Arabidopsis thaliana: one gene and its partner. The protein of the gene in region 1 interacts with the protein of each later gene in a pairwise test. Each region holds a gene or a part of one and is shown in the gene's direction. Other genes may lie near its edges. The genes, in order: ENA and EMB3003.

Region 1 (3,679 bases):
AATTGCCTCTGTTTCTCTCTCATTCTCTGATTCATCTTCATCAGAATGAACAGGAAGGCCTCTGTTTCCAAGGAGCTCAACGCCAAGCATTCAAAGGTCCCATCTTTTTTTCTCCTCCTTTTCGATTTTTCACCATTGGTTTTGCGTCTGGAAAGTTGAAAGGTTAGAGATTTTGTGTGGGTTATAGATATTGGAAGCACTTTTGAAGCATCCAGACAATCGAGAATGTGCAGATTGTAGATCAAAGTAAGCATCTTGATAACATTATCTCTTTCATGATCATGTAAGAAAAACGATTTAGGAGCATTGTGTTGTTTGGATCTATCTATTTTACAGGGCACCAAGATGGGCAAGTGTGAACCTTGGGATATTCATTTGTATGCAATGTTCTGGAATCCATCGTAGCCTTGGCGTCCACATCTCTCAGGTCCCTAAATAATCTCTCTTTTAATTGATTGTGTTGTAAATGGATCATACAAATTAGGGATACTGATGAATTTTGGACACAGGTAAGGTCTATAACTCTGGATACATGGCTTCCAGATCAGGTTGCTTTCATGAAATGTAAGCTCCTCTTTTGTATATAATGAACACATTCAGTAGTTGAATTTTGTATCAATCCCATAGCTTGATCATCTTATTCTCGGTCTAGCTACCGGTAATGCTAAGGGAAATGAGTATTGGGAATCAGAATTGCCTCAACATTTCGAGAGAAGTTCAAGCGACACGTTTATAAGAGCCAAGTATTGATTCTTTTCTATGTTCGCTTTTGCTTCCTCATCTGCTACAACACAACTTTAGCTTGAATCTTTTTTTCTTCTGTTCGTGTGTGTTTTAGATACAGTGAGAAGAGATGGGTTTCACCGGGAGCGATTCAACCGGCTCCTATAGTTAGCCAGCTAAGCTGCAAAGTTAGTCACTTGGTAGAGAGTGGATATAAACCTGAAACTCCAAAGAAAGCTAGAACTCTTTCACTTGACGAAGAGATCCTTCTTCATCATGTTCTTCAAGTAACACCTCCAGAAACGAGAACTCGTGCGGTATGACAACAAATCTATATCTTTTTGGGTTCTGGTATGATCACTAGATTGGAAATTCATTCAGTTTCCTTGTTTGTCCTGTGGCAAGAATTAACAAAGCTTTTGTAGAAGGATTTTGAATCATTTCCATAAACTGTTGTGCAATGCAGGGTTCGGTAGATATGAAGGAGAATGTATATGTTGTACCTCTACCAGAATTCAAGAAACCAAATCAAAAGAATGAGAATTTCTCCAGTGAAGTAAACCAGAATAGAAGAACCACCATAGCACCACCGTCGAGCTGGGCTACTTTCGACTGTAAGGCCATGATTCAGGCTTTTCTTTTTTTTATCTTCTGTTAGTTTTGAGGTTTTGATTCTAAATCTCTAATGTGAAACAGGAAGAGAAAAGACTCTATGAAGACGAAGAAGATGGAGGTTTTGGAAAAACAAGAATCATCATGTGGGCTTTAATTTTAGTCAAAAGGTTGGCAAAGATGGGATGATGAACTCAAAGTTGGTTCTGTTTTCTAATTCTTTATTCATTCATAATCCAATTTTGGTTGCTTGTAACAAAATCATTTTTAATTCAATGGAAGAGAGACATCTTTGAGTATTTGACAAAAGAGAAAGCAAATACAAGTCACCAATGTGATTATTTTTAATTGCTGGACAAGTAACATCAATTGATTGGTCCACCATACTCCATAACAACCGTAATGATTTCAATAATCACTTTTGAGTTTGTGTTTTATTTGGTTTACACTTTACATAGGAAACGAATAAAATTAAATCAGACCTAAACACACTAACTCGGTCCGGTTTGGTTAATTTTCTTACGGGTTTATTGAGAGATGGGCCTTAGGCCCGAGAGAGAACACAAACTGGAATGAGGAAGAGGAACAGAACAGTTGTGGTGTGTTACGAGTTACGACTGAAGAGTGACGGAGATGGCGGTGAACGCGTGTCTATCTCCGCCGGAGATGATGGCTGTCCGGCCAGGGGAAGGCGTTCCGAATTCAAAATCTACGCAGGGAAAAACTAGGCTCTATCTCACCAAACCTTCATGGATAGTCAGAACTCAGGTCTGAAACCAAAAACCCCCAATTTCTATCTCTAGACTCTTGATATCATTAATAAGAATGAATTCAATGGTTAACAGTCTGGAGCTAAGACGTGTATGAAGTCGAAGGCGAAAGGACGATGCGTAATCTGCCATGGAAGTGGAAGAGTCGATTGTTTCAATTGTTGTGGGAAAGGTAAAGATAAATAACTTCTCTCTCTGGTTCTCAACTTTAAATGTCTCTTATGATTGATTTCTTCGTATTAACTACTTCAGAGAATTGAATTCTTGCTTTTTTGTGATATATGATTGAAGGGAGGACTAATTGTGTGGATGTGGAAATGCTTCCAAGAGGAGAATGGCCTAAATGGTATTCTTGAGGCTTTTATATCTGTTATTTGATTCAAGAACTAAAGGAGTTCAAAATTTTTTTTGGTTGTTTTGGTCACAGGTGCAAGAGTTGTGGAGGGAGTGGATTAAGTGACTGTTCTCGCTGTCTTGGCACCGGAGAGTACAGATACATCATGGGTTTCCGCTTCTTAAACCAAAACGATGATGCCGATCCACAATAATGATTTGGAGAAACTCTTAACGATCATGTCCTTGCCAGTTTTTGTATATGTCCAATGAGGAGGCTTAAGACTTGTTTAGTAATGTTGTATATGGTTGCTCCTGACTTGTTAATATTGTTTGTAATCTTCAAGGATGTTGTTGCAAGTAAAGAGAAATCACCAGTCTACAAGTTCTTTAGGAAGATAAATGAAACGTAGCCACCGTTAGTTTTATATTCTTAAGCTTACATTGCAAAATTGTTGTATCTTGGCTTTGTACTTACTAATGGTATATTTGGATTCTTTAGTATAATGGGAAGGTTCTGAGTCAAAATTTTAGTTATGAGCTGTCTAATTTGATTAAGAATTAGTCTAGTGATGTTTTATCTTCGGCTTTGAGTGTGAAACGAAGCAAAATGGGAGCTGATTAGAGTGTACAATTGTGATATCCGGTTTAGTCAAACCGGATTTAATACATTTTAATTTGATTATCTCGGTTTATTTAGTCAGGCGCGCATCTTTCTTCTTCTTGTGGTTCGATATTCTTATCGTTATGTCTTCCGTCGCTTTGCCGGCGATGAGCTGCCGGAGCTCAGGTGAACAAGTGAAGGAGATTCGCGTTTGTACGAATCGCACCTGCCGAAGACAAGGCTCCTTCCAGATTCTCGAGACTTTAACAGCTCTCGCACCTCCCGAACTCCGAGTCACTCACTGCGCTTGCCTCGGCCGATGCGGCTCCGGTCCAAACCTCGTGGCTCTCCCTCAAGGTCTCATCCTACGTCACTGCGCCACGCCTTCTCGAGCTGCTGAAATTTTGTTCAGCCTATGTGGTGACGGTCGTGAAGCTTCTTCATCCTCCGCCGTCACAGACGCTCTCACGGCTTTAGCGTTAACCAACAATGCTCTCTCTCAAATCGATGCGGGAAATTTCTCTGAAGCCGAAGCACTTCTCACTCAGGTCTGTAGACTTACGAATTTGTCTCAATTTCTTCTCCATTTTTATGGAGCTTGACCATGGATGTGTCTATGATTGCAGGCTTTAGAGCT
Region 2 (3,923 bases), on another chromosome or scaffold:
AGAAAAGACAAGGTTTCTTCTAGAATTATCTATTCAGGTAAATAAACATTTATCTTTTCAATAAAATACAAAAATCAATCAATATGTGAAATGATCTGAAGAAAGTTTTGTGGGTTTCGGCCCAAAACAAAATTGTCATGTTATTCATTAATGGACTCCTAAATTATTCGTTGAAGCAAACAATTTTTGGCATTTTATTAGATATTCGATAAATAATCATAAATAATAGACTTATTTGTCTAAAAAACCACAAAAACAAATAAAAATTGTATGACTTTTTTGTGTTGTCGTCGTCGTCGTTATCAACCCTCATCATCATCATCACCAACGTAACCACCGACGCCATCATCATCGCCATTAACAACTGGATCTGTCTCCGTTTCCATCAAATCTCTTTCTCTCTCTGCAGATCAATTGATTTTTTACAACGTGATTGAAGCGGGGCTAGCTCCGGTGACGATAGTTGATTGGTTTTGTCCCTTAAGATGAGCTCCTTCAATGGTAACGAACGGCGTCGGCGGCCGTGAATCATGAGAGAGATGGCTCAGTTTCTTTTTCTTTTCTCTGATCTTCCTCTTTATCATCAGATTCTATCTCAGAAACTTATCAATGTGCGTTTGATTTTTTTTGCTTGGGTTCCCTTTACAATAATCATTAGGGTTTAGTTTTTGAATGGAATTCTCTTCCAATAAACAAAATATCATTAATGGTGAATAGTGAGGACGCAAATGATTATTGAAAAGCTTTGATTTCGAATACTCGATTGCAGATCTGCCACAAATCTGAAACTCTGTTTTTACTATTCACCTTCTTCTTCATTTGCAAGATGATTTCATTTCGTTCGTTTAATTTTTTGCTTTGGTTTCATAAATACTATCATCTTTAGGGTTTAATTATTGTGAATCAATGAATGTTTTTAGTTAGAATAGATTTTAAGAATATGAGATTTGGAAAAAAAATTGGATTTAAAAGAAGAGGAGCGTGCAAGAAGATGATGAGAGAAGATGATGAGATTATTCAGGGGTAAAATGATCAAATCGCCCTATCAAAACTACTCTTTTTCAAAGATCATACACAAAAGCCTCAAAATCAAAATTTTTATCAAAAAACATCCTCTTTTGACAATAACCCCTAAATAATATTATAAGTATTATACACTAATATTCTGCAACTGTCCAGATTATTTATCATTTACCAAAGAAATATATTAAAAATTATATTTATCTTTAAATTCAATATTTATAATGGATCAAACATCAAACAAATTTGTATACCGAAATTTTTTTAAAACACAAAATATAAGTTTCTCCTTAATTTTCTTTTATGAAATTTTCTTCTAAAAATAGAATAACATATAAAATAATACATAAGAGAGAAATCATGCTTTATTTTACAGAGAAAAATAGAGATTTACATTGGAGATAATCTTATATGAAAACTGTAAAAAACTATAAAATCAGGGCGAAAAATGTGTATGGTAAAAAAACTTAACATGTGGTTAAAGGTTTTAAAAAGATTACAGAATAGTTCTCTATTGGGCCTTCGAAAAAAGCCCAATACCCAACAACAAAAACGCGCGTGTATCACACCTTCAATACACTAGTAAGAGTCACACAGTGATCGTCACCGGTAAATTAGTTGGCAAACTCCGCCTGCTCTTCGATAATTCCGAGGAGCTTCTTCACTCTTCTTATATCTCATTTCTCTCTATCTCTCTCTCTCTCTCGCATTGCGATTAACGAAATTCGAAAAATGTCTCGTCTTCTCCAAACACCCTTCTTACCTTCAGTTTCCCTCCCCACAAAAACACGATCTTCCGTTACGGGTTTCCGGGTAAAGCCCAGAATCATCCCAATTCAAGCAAAGATCCGAGAAATCTTCATGCCTGCACTAAGTTCCACGATGACCGAAGGCAAAATCGTCTCTTGGGTTAAATCAGAAGGCGATAAACTCAACAAAGGAGAGAGTGTTGTTGTTGTTGAATCTGATAAAGCTGATATGGATGTTGAGACTTTCTATGATGGTTATCTAGCTGCAATCATGGTTGAAGAAGGTGGTGTTGCTCCTGTTGGTTCTGCTATTGCTTTGTTAGCTGAAACTGAAGATGAGATTGCTGATGCTAAAGCTAAAGCTTCTGGTGGTGGTGGTGGTGGTGATTCTAAGGCTCCTCCGGCTTCTCCTCCCACGGCTGCAGTTGAAGCACCTGTGAGTGTTGAGAAGAAGGTTGCAGCTGCTCCGGTGTCCATTAAGGCGGTGGCGGCGTCTGCGGTGCATCCGGCGTCTGAAGGAGGGAAGAGGATTGTGGCGTCTCCTTATGCTAAGAAGTTAGCTAAGGAGTTGAAGGTTGAATTGGCTGGTTTAGTTGGAAGTGGACCGATGGGAAGGATTGTGGCTAAAGATGTTGAGGCGGTTGCTGCTGGAGGAGGAGTTCAAGCTGCTGTTGCTGTTAAGGAGGTAGTGGCAGCTCCTGGTGTGGAGTTGGGATCGGTGGTTCCTTTTACGACAATGCAGGGGGCTGTGAGTAGGAATATGGTGGAGAGTCTTGGTGTTCCTACTTTTAGAGTCGGTTACACGATTAGTACGGATGCTCTTGATGCTCTCTACAAGAAGGTGAGTGTGTTTTGAAATCCGTTTGGTTGGTATGATAGAGTAGACTGGAGATTCCATTGATTGTGATAATAGTTGCTTGATGAAGTTTTGAACTTTGGGATGAGATTATGAGAGATAGCTAGTTGAATTATAAATGATAGTATCTTATGATGTGCATCAGAAGCATACACTAGTTACAAACTGTAAGTGTAAATGTTGATTTGGTTCACATTTTGTGTTTGGTTTGTTTAGATTAAGTCGAAAGGTGTGACAATGACGGCACTTTTAGCAAAGGCAACTGCACTTGCACTGGCGAAACATCCAGTTGTAAACTCGTCTTGTAGAGATGGTAACAGTTTTGTGTATAATAGTAGCATCAACGTTGCTGTTGCTGTTGCTATTGATGGTGGTTTGATCACTCCGGTGCTTCAGAACGCTGATAAGGTTCTTTTCTTTTGTATGCTTTATAAGAGATTTTGAGTTTACTCTGTATTCAAAACCGGTATCAGTGGGTTGTTCTATCTTTTGTAAACAGGTTGACATTTATTCGTTATCTAGAAAATGGAAAGAATTGGTTGATAAGGCTCGAGCCAAGCAGCTGCAGCCTCAGGAGTACAACACTGGTAATCCTACTACTAGAATATTGAAGTGATTTGAGTTTGAGTAATCCTTCAACTAGATTGTTTGAGTCTTGTTGTTTTTATTTCCCTTCCGGGTAATTGCAGGTACCTTCACTCTCTCTAACCTAGGAATGTTTGGCGTTGATCGGTTTGATGCTATTCTACCCCCTGGAACAGTTAGTGCTTTTACCTTTATGCGTGTATTTTAGTTTGTATCTTGGTTATGTCTTTTAGCCTAATAATTATGCTAAGGATAACAGCTCATTGGTTTTCTTGTCTTTGATCAATGAAGGGAGCGATTATGGCTGTCGGAGCATCTCAACCTTCAGTGGTTGCAACTAAAGACGGCCGCATTGGCATGAAAAACCAGATGCAGGTAAATGTTATTATCAACCATCGTTAGAACTTGTTCCTCTTCTCCTTTTTGTCTTCATGAAAACGTCTCGAGTTTTCCTGGGAACTTGTTAATGATGACTGGTCACTTGCAAACCCACAGGTGAATGTGACGGCAGATCATCGTGTCATCTATGGTGCTGATCTTGCACAGTTCTTGCAAACATTGGCAAGCATTATTGAGGACCCAAAGGACCTTACATTCTAGGCCAAATTACTGCTTTTCGCATCCCAGTCTTCTCTGCTTTTGATTCCATGGGAGCTTGTATTTCTGCGGTAATCAGTTTCTTTGATAGAACAAACCTTTTAAGATTAAACATA

What was found.
Region 2: the proteins of ENA (region 1) and EMB3003 interact in a two-hybrid assay, tested with the Arabidopsis thaliana proteins (one large-scale study listed by BioGRID).

Annotation. Positions count from the first base shown.
Region 1 is NC_003074.8:6,037,672-6,041,350, forward strand, and holds ENA (DnaJ/Hsp40 cysteine-rich domain superfamily protein), read left to right. Parts: upstream 1-1,736; 5' UTR 1,737-1,968; coding exon 1,969-2,103; intron 2,104-2,180; coding exon 2,181-2,277; intron 2,278-2,396; coding exon 2,397-2,451; coding exon of another isoform or gene 2,452-2,461; exon of another isoform or gene 2,462-2,532; coding exon 2,533-2,653; 3' UTR 2,654-2,962; downstream 2,963-3,679. Other genes in the region: AGD15 (ARF-GAP domain 15), read left to right, coding at 46-96, 188-246, 337-427, 510-564, 653-743, 839-1,040, 1,190-1,381; AT3G17670 (tetratricopeptide repeat (TPR)-containing protein), read left to right, coding at 3,186-3,590, 3,669-3,679.
Region 2 is NC_003070.9:12,587,914-12,591,836, reverse strand, and holds the start of EMB3003 (2-oxoacid dehydrogenases acyltransferase family protein), read left to right. Parts: upstream 1-1,613; 5' UTR 1,614-1,752; coding exon 1,753-2,610; intron 2,611-2,841; coding exon 2,842-3,033; intron 3,034-3,124; coding exon 3,125-3,212; intron 3,213-3,314; coding exon 3,315-3,385; intron 3,386-3,501; coding exon 3,502-3,585; intron 3,586-3,705; coding exon 3,706-3,810; 3' UTR 3,811-3,923. Other genes in the region: AT1G34440 (uncharacterized protein), read left to right, coding at 1-37, 410-489. UniProt on the Arabidopsis thaliana protein: The pyruvate dehydrogenase complex catalyzes the overall conversion of pyruvate to acetyl-CoA and CO(2).